Linked DNA regions of Callithrix jacchus. The protein of the gene in region 3 purifies or fractionates together with the protein of the main gene of each other region. This does not show direct contact. Links are inferred from orthologs where the notes say so. Each region holds a gene or a part of one and is shown on either strand. Other genes may lie near its edges.

Region 1 (4,335 bases), on a different chromosome or scaffold from region 3:
CATGTAGGGAAACAGCCCACACACGGAGATGAAAGGATGAGGGGGTGGAAGCCCAACGATATCTTCAGAATAACTGTTAGCTAGTGAATGGGAAGATCGTTCCGTGCTGAAAGAACAGCATGAGGGTGGTGAATGAGACTGGAAAGAAAACAATGTCTGGAGAACCATTAGCATCTTAGAGGACAGGTGGTGTTAGGGAAGGCCCACTATTGCACTCTATCTTTGATTTATTTTGAAACTCTTGTAAAATAACTAAACAAAAAATTTCTGTCATCAAAAAAGTATCCTTCATTCCCAGCATCACTTCCCTTTTGCTTTGGTGTTGTCAGACAGCGGAGTGTTTTTAAATAATCGGGAGCAGGGAGGATGGAGGGGAGCGGTGGGAGGCGACAAACCTTTAAGATACTTATGAGAACTATGTTAGCTGTTAGGCATAGACGACCTAAAGCCCCTCATCAAATACAATCACTTTAATATAAACGCCATTTTACCTTAATCATTTCTACGGTAGCTTATGGAAACTAATAGATTGGAAACTAAATGAAACTAAAGAGAATCTTACATGAACTTGTCTAGTTCGCGTGGAAAATCAAATTCAGACTCAACAAACGCTTATCCAGGACAACTATGCTCTCGTATATTTTTTCCCTCCTGTAAAGCAAGGCTAATCTATTGCCCAAGCGGGTGTTTGGACTAATTAGAACAAATACGGACGCGGTGAGAGCTTCATTCTGGCGAAACTAGGGTGAGAGGATTTTCGTGGGTTTTCATTGAGGAGACATGGAAACTAAAAAGATATGGAATATAGTTAGAAAGTATTGGTGTGAAAAACTGTGCCTCGAGGGCCAACATGAAATACAGATACGATGGCGGGAAACAGGTTTTTAGGCTGGAATGAAAATCTCCTTTGTTCACAGAGCAAACTCTTTTCAATTTCACTCCCCTCTCCGTGGTGTCTTCACAATTCTTGCCTCAGTATTGTCAACCGGTATCCAAGTCTCCCACACTCATCCTGGCTAACGGAATAAAAATCTACATCTCTTTTCTATTTCCAGGCTAAATGAGCTACCGCACTCAGCCTGGAAAATGAGTCGAGCTTTTAACTTAAGTGTAAACGTTTTAATACTGTAGTCGCCTACCTGGACCTTCCACCCAAGAACTACAACACCCAGAATGCATTGTTTTCCTTTCCGCCTTCTACCGAGGGAATGCCTAACTTGATCTCACTTCCACAAGTAATAGTCACATGACACGTTTCCCGTCAAGATGGCGGATACTCTCCCCTCGGAGTTTGATGTAATCGTAATAGGGACGGGTATGTGTATCCTGGTACTTACCGGACAAAGTTTAGGAAGACTGTCTTGTTCGTACTTTTTCTGTCAGTGGCGAGTTTTGGGAGAAACGTCTTGGGTCGAGCGTGGGAGGGAGAACGGAAAGGAAGTGAGGTAGTCCGGAGTCAGCGCGGGACTTGGCGGCTACAGGGAGGGGCTTGGACCCGCGGTGCTTATCGCCATTTGAGTAGGGGTTGATCTGGTAGATGTCGATTGCTGAGGTTGGTTGCTGAGGTGATTCCTGTTAATTTCCTTAGAGGGAAGTGGATGTGCAGTGTCATGAAATGGAGGGTCGGGATTTTATCAACGGAGACGATTTTGGCATGACATTATGATTCCCTCCTGTTGATTTCGAGGTGACATTCCCCATCATTTTGTCTCGCCATTTCATAGGACGTTTTCATAGGTTTGTATGATCCTACGGTACATCGCAGCTCAGACACAGCTTCATCCTCAGTTTTACAAGAAAGATGCTCAATTATTGTCCACGTGCGTATGAATTTACTAGGGAAAGCAAACGGATTCTATTGTGTTGAGAAACCTAGGGAATTATATTTTGTTGAGGTAGCCATTATTCCTGCTTTATGGTGCTTAAAGCATCTTGCTTTCTACCACCCATAACTGAATGTGCTGAGAACAAGGTCCTGAGTTCCAGTTCAGGTGTTTGACCTTATCTAACTCTTGTTTTCCCGTCGTTTGTTCTTCATGTTTTGGGTGGAACCAGAAATTCCTCTGCAATTTCTAGTTCACATATTAAATATACAACACGTGGCAGAAGACATGGCAGCAATTGGATTTTTTTTTAAAATAGTGTAATGGATGATCGTTTTAGATGGGATGAAATAGGTTGTTTGGTGGGGTTTTCTACTGTTTGTAGAAAGGTAGGCCAGAGAAGCTCTAGTGGATGGGACCCTGTCCATTGTGTTAATGAATTCAGTTCGTTGTCTTCTCAAACAGCCATGATTAGGAGCAGCCATGTTTTCAGATTGGGAGTAAAAATCATAGCTACCTGTTTCGAATGCCTAAAATTTCCTAATCACTGTGCTAAGCACTTTACAAGCTGGACATAATCCTCACAGCCTTGTTAGAGTAGTAGGTACTTTCTACATTTTGTGGATGAAGAAAAGGGGACTTGGAAAGGGAATTTGCTCAGGATCACACAGCTGGCAAATTTCCAAAGGCCCATTCCATCCCAGAAAAACAGTCAGTGGTTCTGACCCTCAGAGTTGACCCATATTAGTAGAAATGAGAAAACTTGGTTTTAGGCTTTGCTTAGTGCTAGTGTGAATTACTTGAATTGGGAGGGCCAGGTACTTAATCTCTCTGAGCCTCAGTTTCCTTGTTTTTGAATATAGGGAAGGTAAATTAGATGGTCTGTATGTTGTCTAGCAAAAAATGCCTGGGTAACAGTTCTCAGAACAGCACGGACATGTTTCTTCTTAGCCTGAAAATATCTGCATGGCTGCAAATAACCTGGTTGTGGTTGCTATGAACAGATGTTGGATGAGAGCTGGAAAGAGCCAATGGATGATTCATTTTTTTCTTTCCAGTCTATACTAAAACTGAGAACAACATCCATTTTGGAATAGTTGTTATACCATACTTGAGTTTTATATTCTTGCTTTTTTTTTTTTTTTGGTTACCTAGGAACTTGAGGTGTTTTTAACAATTTTTTTAATCAACAGTTTTTTTTTTCAGGTCTGGGTTCAAATTGTAATTGATGTTTGTTCTTATTATGAAGTGCTGCTAATGCTTTTCATAAATATTTCGCCTTCTGTACAGTTCAGAATTGGAATATATCTATTCTGTTAGAATCTGTTATGGTAGAGGTAGGAAGTTACAGTGAGTGACCCAGAAAATTGCATCAGGAGACGTAGCTTATATTTGGAAAAAGACTTATTTTATACTTGTCTCAGTCAGTGCAATGTTATTTTTCAGTGTTTGGGAAGAACTTGTTTGAAGTTAGTCTTAAAACTTAAATTTTTCATATTGTTTATTGGTGACATTCCAGGTTTTATCAAGCACATTGCTTAAATTGCTTAAATTTATGATGTGTAATTTTGTTTTTAGGTACATCAGAAGTGTAAAAATTGAATAAAAGAGTCATTTCCCAAATAAATGATCCCAACCATTCCAATCATTGCTCAATTGGATTTATTTTTTACTGTGCTTGGAATATTTCTTTTGTGAAATAGTTTGCTGAAAGTAGCCTTTAAAATATTTGATTTATTAAATGTACTACCTTGAGTAAATCATAGAAAAAGCAGTGTTTCATAGATTCAGTTGCATTAACAAAAGCAGAAGCAATAATGCATGCATCAGAAATATGAAGAAATAGGCTATTAGATGTCCTTTTTAGCAGATTTAGTTCTAATTAAAATATCATAAAGGGACAATTGCTTCATCAAGTATAATCACGTGAAGACAATATTCTATAATCCCTTTTACCTTGATTAACTTGTATTCTCATTTTCTATAATACAAGATGGAAACTTTTCCTTAAGATCATATTTTCAGGAGATTATGGGAAAAAAAAACTTTGTATTTTCTTAGTTAAGCCCATCTCCTTCTGATTAGAAAATACAGTAAATATGTCTTGAACACCCAAAGATAGAAGAGTAAGATAAAATGAATTCTGAAAAAAATAGAAGAAAATGGAATAAAGAAGGAGAAGCCAATGGAGTCTCAAGGGAGAGGATAAATAGATGTATGTGGTAAGTGTCTAGAAAGTGGTCCTCAGCTTGGGTACAGAATTGTCATTTTCAGTGTATTTTGCCATGTAAAAAGTCATTTAAGTGACAGCTTTGTGGATTATAGACAAGTACCATTGGTTTCAGGTTAAAAATAGTCCCAGTAACAGAACATCTTACTGGAGGTGACTTATCTGGCAACCTGTGTAATCTGCAGCACAGCAGAGCCAAGAACTCAGCAGAAGAGCAGGCAAGATGGAAATTACAAGATCTGTTTGATAATATTGACATGCTTTATACATAGGGGAATCCCT
Region 2 (4,202 bases), on a different chromosome or scaffold from region 3:
TTCCCCACCCAGCTCTGCCTCAGACCCCCAGTTCTGCCCCACCAATCCTGGGATACCCAGACATGGTTGGGCCGGTTCCTGCCATCTGGGGTCCTCCACTCCACAATCAGGGGAGACTCATCAACCATGAGCAGCAAGGTCTCCGTTCTGGAGCCTACCTGGTACAAGGGACAAAGAGAGACTTCAGCCCCAACAGCACCAGGCCCACAATCCCACAGTGCTCTTGACAAAAGCTGCAGGACTCACTAGGAGGGGCCGAGAGAAGGAGACAGTCAGACAGGCCTCATCCCGGCTCACATGTAGGCAGCGCAGTGCATCCTGGGGGTCAGCTACGGGGAAACACAGCATCAGATCTTAAACCCTCTCCCACTCCTATCAAGCCCTAAATACCCAGCCCCTTTCCTCATTGCTCACCTCGGCCTAGGAGCCAACGGTGATAGAACCAGGCACTCTGATCATTGGGGTCAGTGAAGAAGGCATTCTGCACCAGCTCCAGCTCTGTGGGGTTCCGGGAGGCATGGGCTGTGGTTAGGCCAATGGTTGGCTCCTGGCCACTTCAACACCCTACTCTCTCCTTGGAGTACTTCCAACCCCCAGTCTCACTTATATGCTGTCCTTGCACAGGGGCTGCATATGTCAATTTTATCTTCCCCATCAGACACTTGAGCTCTCTGCAGCCAGGGACTGAGTCTTAGGCACTCATGGAGCCAGGCATGAAGTAGGTGCTCAATAAATCCGAGTGACAGGTTCAGGAATAGGGTCAGGCATGGGGGCTGGAAGGGTGGCACTGCAGAGTCCTCCCGAGCACCCCTGACCCTGCTTACCTTTGAGCAGCACATCCTCAGGGAGGCGTCCCTGTGGTTCAGAATCTGGCTGGGGGTGCAGCTGGGGCAAGAGGCAGGAACGGTAATGCCAGGAAGAGTAGTTGGAGAAGTTTCGGGTGATGAGGCTGTCAGTGAAGGCTAGCTCTTCTGCAGGGGGCACTGCTGCCTGTGAGGCCACAAAACGCCGATAGTCCCAGCAGTGAACTGGAGGGGAGAGGTGACAGCGTATATTAGAAGCAGGGCAAGAGGAGCTACCTGGCTGGAACCCCTAGAAACACCTCAGTGCACTTCACAGAGGATGCATTTGACTCCATCATCCCTTTCAGCACCAGCTCAGTGGACCCATCCTGGATATCCATCCCCATTCTGGGCCTTAATGAGGCTCCAGCACCAGAATGTGGGCAGGTGAAGACTGTGGGGACAGAATCTACAGGAACGTACAGTTCCGCTCATCGACCTCCAGGAAGCGGGCACACAGTTCCAGCTCCCGGGCCCAGTTGGGCTCAGGCAGGCGGCCGAGCAGCCAGCTTCGGTGGTGCCAGGTACCATAAGACTTGGGGTTCACCCGTAGGCAGCTCTCCAGGAAGCCCAGTTCTGCCTTCACCAGAGCAGCCAATTCCTCAGGAGACCTGCACCCAAGGGGAAGCAGGGTCAGGGCTTTCCTACACTCAACCTCAGCTCACCCCTCACTTTCTGTACCCAGCCCCCTACTGTCCTCCATCTATGCCACTGGCTGCCACATTTCTCCTCCACCCCTGGACCCAGGCACTGCAGGTGCAGGGCCAGGGCAGTCTTCTAAGACCCTGAACCCCTACGCACTTCTGAGTCTCCAGCTGCTGGAGCACTTCTCGTCGGCAGTTCCAGAGGGTGGCAAAATCAGGGTTGGCTCCCAGAATCTGGCTTGTCAGTTCCAGCACTGACTCATCCAGCTCACCAGCCTGGCGCTGAGAAGACAGGTAGCAGGGTCAGAGATCATACCATTTGCCCACTACAGGACTAAATAACATAAATATAGAACCACCCAATATTCTGTGAATCCCACACTATACAACAGGTACTATGAACCATGCTTTATGGCTTTACAAGTATTCTCTCATTTAATTTTCACAACAGCCTTATGCAGTAGGTACAATTATTAGCTCCATTTTACAGAGGAGCAAACTGAGGCCCAGCGATTCAGCAACTTGTCCAAGGTCATATAGTTATAAGTGAGAGAACCCAGAATTGGATCCAGGCAGTCTGACTCTAGGGACCAGCTCTTGACCTGTGTACTATACTGAGGTAGCCTCCTGGGGTTGGGGCTACCTCTGAGGGCCCCACCTTCTGGAATACGGCTTGGGTGGCTGACTGGTACAGCTTCAGCTTCTGCTCTCGCTCTAGCCTTTTGGCCTCCGCCTGCTCTTCTGACGTCTTCACCTTCAGGCGTCCGTGCTACAAGGATGAACGGGTTGGAAGAGTGCAGTTTGCCTTGCAGGAGCTGACCTGCAAAAACTCCACACTGTGGAGCCCCAGGTTCATGCGGGGCAACCAAGGCACAGCCACTCGGGGTGAGGGCACGGGCCTGCGGAGGTGAAGGGCGGGGCTCAGGGTTCTCACCATGGTGCCGGCTCAGGGTTCAAGACAGGGTAAGGGTCCAGTAGCAGCCCTTGGAAGTCTGAGGAGAGAGGTGTCAATCACGTAGCCCCGCCCCTACTAGCTCCGCCCTCAGCTGTGTCCCGGAAGCAGCAAGCGTGCCTGGGCAGAGACCCCGAGGGTGTAAAGAGGTCCTGGGACAGGTGTTGCACATTCAGGAAGAGGCGAATACCCGGACTAGGACTTCCATCCGTGTGGCCCTTCCCATAGCTGGATTCGCCACGGCCAAAGCCCCAGCCGGGACACCTAGGCGATGGAGACCACTCTGCGCCCCAAAGGTTGCCGCTACCCGCCCATCCCACGGCTCCCGGGCACCCCCGCCCCCCGCGGGCGGACCCACCTGCGCTGGGAGGAGGCGCGGGGGACGCAGAGCTGCGGCGCCCGCTACAGAGCCCAGGAGCTGGCTAGAGCGGCGCCACGTCCCGGCTCACCGAAGCGCAGCGCCCTCTGCAGGCTTGGGGAAGGGCCTGCGGCGGAGGAGGCGGCTCGGAGGCGCGTGCGCGGGGGCTCTGCGCTCGGTGTCAGGACACGCTTGTACCTATTAGCCACCTGGTGTGTACGAGTGCGCTCGTGCGACTGTAGCGTGCATGTGAAATGGGGGCGGACCATGCTGGTTGGTAACTCAAAGTGCAGTGTAGTTAGTGGAAAAGGTTTTCCAATGGCTGGAAACCCACACCTTCACTACTCCACTGACCTTACCCTGGCCACACCGACAACCTTCTAGAAGTTAAATCTAACAGGTGGAGTTGAACTCCCTGTCATTTTCTCTTACCTCTGAAGCATTTGACCCTACCCACTTCTTTACACTTGGCACTCCCATTCTGGCTTCTCATCCCGCACGTCTGCCTCTCTCTTCTCATCTGTTCACCTGCTCCCCTAAATGTGGTGATCTCCAGGGCCCTTTCCTCACCCCTTTTCCACTGCATACACTGTTACTGGGAGAATGTTTAAATCTAAGTCTTCAACTGCTTAGAGTTGGAGTTCTGCAGAGCTCTCTCTTTTGGCCCACAAATCTGGCATCACACTTTCTCTGGGTGACATCATCCACACTCATTGTTTTAATTACTACCTATAAGTTGATGACACCCAAAATTATATCTCCAGCCCAGATGTCTTGGAAGCTTAAATAACAATAAATAATATACATGCACATACATATTCAAACACCTATTGCATTTCACCTGAGTGTTCCAGAGACACCTCAAACTCCAAAAGCCAAAAGGTATAAATTGTCTCTCATCCATCCTGTCTCAACATTGGCCTTTATGTTTTCTATTGTAGCGAATGGCACTATTTCCTCCCCACTTCTTAAACTCGCTTAAATACTCTCTATTTCCACTGCCTTTAAGAGTTCAAACTTCAAATTTCTTTTCCAGATTGTTGAAGGTCTTTTCAGTGTCTTCCACTGCGTCCCTTGTGTTATCAGTACCTCCTCTGTGCTGCTGAATCAGTCTTTCTAAAATGCAGATTTGATGTTATATCTCTGCCTAAAAGCCCTGAGTGGCTCCTTTTCAGGACAGAATTGTAATCTCTCAGCCTAGCACATCAGACCTTTTGGCGTTTGGGCTCTGCCTACTCTCTGGTCCTACGTCCTGCTGACCCTGCTAAAAACTCTTCATGACAGCCTACAGAAATACATGCAGTTCCCTAAATGTTAGCCTCTTCCCTCTTCTTCACTCTCCTTTCTCTGTGCCCCTCCTTTGCCACAGTAACTCCTGTTTATCTCTAAGATTTAACTTTTTGAAC
Region 3 (3,553 bases):
GTGAAGAGCTATGAACACAGAACATAAAAGAACAGTGTCCGCAGCTGTAATCATAATGGTACTGTTATACCTCCTGAATAGTATGAACATGGGATCAGCACAATGAAAAAGTGTCCAAAAAGGATTAACAGAAATTTGGGCTGGGGCAGTGGCTCATGCCTGTAATCCTAGCACTTGGAGAGCCCGAGGCAGGCAGATCTCCAAGGAGACCTAGTTCAAGATCAGCCTGGCCAACATGGTTAAACACAATCTCTACTAAAAATACAAAAATTAGCCAGGAGTGGGGGCGCACGCCTGTAGTCCCAGCTACTTGGGGGCTGAGGCACAAGAACTGCTTGAATTTGAGAAATGGAGGTTGTAGTGAGCCAAGCCTGCACCACTGCACTCCAGCCTGGGCAACAGAGACCCTGTCTCAAAAAAAAAAGGATTAATAGAAATTTGGATGCAAATTCCCCTTTGTTTTTAAATAGGAAGCTTTATACATAGAAATTAAAATCTACGAAAAATTCATTAATGAAATCTAGACACTCTAATTGGTGTTAAATGGAGATTATACATAGATACACACATACCAGAGATATTATTTATGATACACTGGATATGGGGTTGTACTTTTACTTTAAACATCCTTCTTGAGCTATCATTAAAATAAAATAAACTTAGAAGTGGACTATCCAAAACAAGATAAAATTTCCAGTCTTAAGTTCTTGCAAAGCTCTGCAGAAATTAAGTTCTATACTACAGTACTTCAGAGTTTTTATTATATTACTAAAATGTTTTTTTAGTAAATATTAGTAAAACAATATTTTAGTAAAATAATATTTAACATTTTACTAAAACTTTTAACAAAAAATAATTTTTTGTCTTACTAAAAAAAAAAAAAATCACATATGGATGTGCCTTCAGAAAAAAAAAAAAAAAAAACCACAAAGGGTATCTAATATATCACGTATTAACATTTTTTAAAATGCCAAGACTTCTGACTCGAAATAAAAGCTCCATGATGCTTTCTGATACTCAGTCATTAGAAAAAAACAAAACATTCTAATACAACATTGTAACAAGACACACAAAGGCCAGGAGGTAGTAGAGTTCTGTAAATTATCTTACTAGAATGGGTCTAAGTTTATGAATAACATTCTCAAATGTATTTGCCTAAGAGCACTCACTAAATGCACAGTATAAAATTTTGCTTCTTAAAGATTCTAAGAAGTTGCCACATGCCAGTTGGTATCTACCAGTCTCATGTACTTCAAAAGTGTGACTTTAATTTTGCAATATGGGGTTAAAATATATACATAAATACCTTGGAAAACAGCATTGTTTATATATATATATATATATATGCAAAATACTGTGAATCTCAAACTGTGTAGTTCTTCCCACACATCATCTTATTGAAAAGCATCATTTCACAGACAAAACAGAGGCACAAAAGAGGCTATCTTGTCCCAGTGTTAAATAATTACAGGTTTCTTTAATCAAAGTTAATGTATTTTTTTAAGAGATGTGGGTCTCATTATGTTGCCCAGGCTAGACTTGAACTCCTAGGCTAAAATAATCCTGGGACTACAGGCATGCAGCACCATGCCGAGCTAAAATTCAATTTTCGCACTTCACGTCTTCTCTTGACAATACTGTACTGTTTGTTGTCCCCTTTTTGCCCTGCATCTTACCTTCCCCTCATCTCTGTCCCGCCATAACCACCTTGTGCAGTGCCTACTCTTTCCCTTCTTTCATCTTTTTCTCCACGTTCCATTTTCCTGTCATGTCCCTTTCCGATAATCGCTTTTTCTCTTCCCTCAGCTTAGGAGCATTCTTACATGTACGTCTTAGCAGGGAGCACCTGTAACCAGAGTTACCTGGGAGGTTGAGGCTGGAGGCTCACTTGAGGCCAGGAGTTCAAGACCAACCTGGAAACACAGCAATACTCTGACTCTTTAAAAAAAACGAAACAAAACAAAAAACTTTCCTGGCAGGATGGCATGCACTTGTAGGCCCAACTACTTGGGAGGCTAAGGCAGGAAGATCATCTGAGCCCAGAGTTCCAGGCTGCAGTCTGCAGTGAGGTATGATCCTGACACTGCACTCCAGTCTACACAACAGCAAGATCCCATCTTTCAAATAACAAAAAAAGTACATCTAACAGTATTTAAATAATTTGACAAGTATAAATTATTCAAATAGTTCAGTTATATAGATCAGAATTTAAGGTTACCTTTTTTACTATTCATTTCAAGCCAACATAATTGAGCACAAATATGTACTGTATTAATTTGAAGAAGCTTCTAGTTATCAGCAAGAAATAGATACCAGATCAAATCTTATAACTTGAAACACTAATTCTACTCATGTTTTTAACTATATTTTAGCTACAATATAACCACATGGAATTAACCAAACAATCAAATGTAAAAAGACATCGTTTCAACAAAGATAAAGGCAAGTTTTAAAGCTTAAGGTCAGCTGAATAACTCTTTTCTTCACTCTGTGACTTATTTAGCTATTCATAATCACACAATTGGAACATCAAAATATTTTCTGTCAAGGTATGATTTGATGAAATGAAGCAGGGAAAAAAAATATCTCACCTCCAATGGTACTCTCTTGAAATTCATGAAACTGGCCTTTCACAAAACGAAGCACTAGGCTTGATTTGCCAACAGCAGACTCTCCCAGAAGTACTAGTTTGAACTGGCATATTTTATTTCCAGTATTTGGCCCGTTGGGTCTTGTTGCACCTCGATTAGCCATGTCCAAATTTGAAATAAATCCCTAATTTCAGACTCTTCAATGAAGTTCCAGAATTCAAGGCGTCAATCTTCTTCTTTCTGGAGGTAAAGAAACCTGCAAAGAAACAATTATGAAGTAAATGTACAAATCAGTAAAGCAAATTTACTATTAATCACTTTAAATTTTGCCTATAGCATATTATGATTATTTTAAGCTCTACTAGACCTTCAACATCCTTTAGAATAGGTCACTATCTTTTACAGGAAATTTAAAGGTATAGGATTTGAGCTCAAAATCACTTTTTTTTTTTTTTAAGGCTAACCTCTCAAAGCTTCAACTTTGTGCCAGGCAGTACTTTAAGTACTTAACTTCTCAACAATCCTATAAAATGAGATATTATTACAATCCTTATAAATGAGGAAGCAAGCCCAGAGATGTGAAAAAGCTTACTTGAGGTCACAGAGTTACTGTGACAGAAGTGACACAGAGCTGAGTTTCAAATCCAGGGAACCTGAGAGATGACTCAAGAGTTCAAGTTCTAGAGCCAGGCTACTTGGGTTAACATTTTTTTTGAGAAAAATTATGTTATTAATAACTGAGAAGCTTTTAGAGCAGATCCAAGAATTTATTATTACTTAAAGTCTTCTGTTAAACAATGTTTAATGGTAATTTCGACAACAAATATTTTCAGTCACCTGGGTTTGTGTGCCTAATGGCGGAAAGACTTAAAACTGTTTCCTCATCTGCTCAAGTATACCACACATAGAAATGTTAACAGTTGTTTTCTGTGTGGTGGGATTATTACTCATTTATTTACTTA

Evidence for each region.
Region 1: the proteins of RAB5A (region 3) and CHM purify together in Homo sapiens (affinity purification with mass spectrometry; 3 studies listed by BioGRID and IntAct, counting the BioPlex papers as one, with this or other methods). This does not show direct contact. The link is inferred for Callithrix jacchus from reciprocal best matches to the Homo sapiens genes RAB5A and CHM.
Region 2: the proteins of RAB5A (region 3) and RABGGTA purify together in Homo sapiens (affinity purification with mass spectrometry; 3 studies listed by BioGRID and IntAct, counting the BioPlex papers as one, with this or other methods). This does not show direct contact. The link is inferred for Callithrix jacchus from reciprocal best matches to the Homo sapiens genes RAB5A and RABGGTA.

What each region holds. Positions count from the first base shown.
Region 1 is NC_133524.1:83,479,733-83,484,067, reverse strand, and holds the start of CHM (rab proteins geranylgeranyltransferase component A 1), read left to right. Parts: upstream 1-1,491; 5' UTR 1,492-1,537; coding exon 1,538-1,552; exon of another isoform or gene 1,553-1,737; intron 1,738-4,335. UniProt on the Homo sapiens protein: Substrate-binding subunit of the Rab geranylgeranyltransferase (GGTase) complex.
Region 2 is NC_133509.1:58,570,452-58,574,653, forward strand, and holds the start of RABGGTA (geranylgeranyl transferase type-2 subunit alpha), read right to left. Parts: upstream 2,852-4,202; 5' UTR 2,424-2,851; coding exon 2,421-2,423; intron 2,256-2,420; coding exon 2,145-2,255; intron 1,769-2,144; coding exon 1,644-1,768; intron 1,454-1,643; coding exon 1,266-1,453; intron 1,029-1,265; coding exon 825-1,028; intron 499-824; coding exon 415-498; intron 330-414; coding exon 247-329; intron 159-246; coding exon 57-158; intron 1-56. UniProt on the Homo sapiens protein: Catalyzes the transfer of a geranylgeranyl moiety from geranylgeranyl diphosphate to both cysteines of Rab proteins with the C-terminal sequence -XXCC, -XCXC and -CCXX, such as RAB1A, RAB3A, RAB5A and RAB7A.
Region 3 is NC_133518.1:58,465,275-58,468,827, reverse strand, and holds part of RAB5A (ras-related protein Rab-5A), read right to left. Parts: intron 2,848-3,553; 5' UTR 2,755-2,847; coding exon 2,592-2,754; intron 1-2,591. UniProt on the Homo sapiens protein: The small GTPases Rab are key regulators of intracellular membrane trafficking, from the formation of transport vesicles to their fusion with membranes.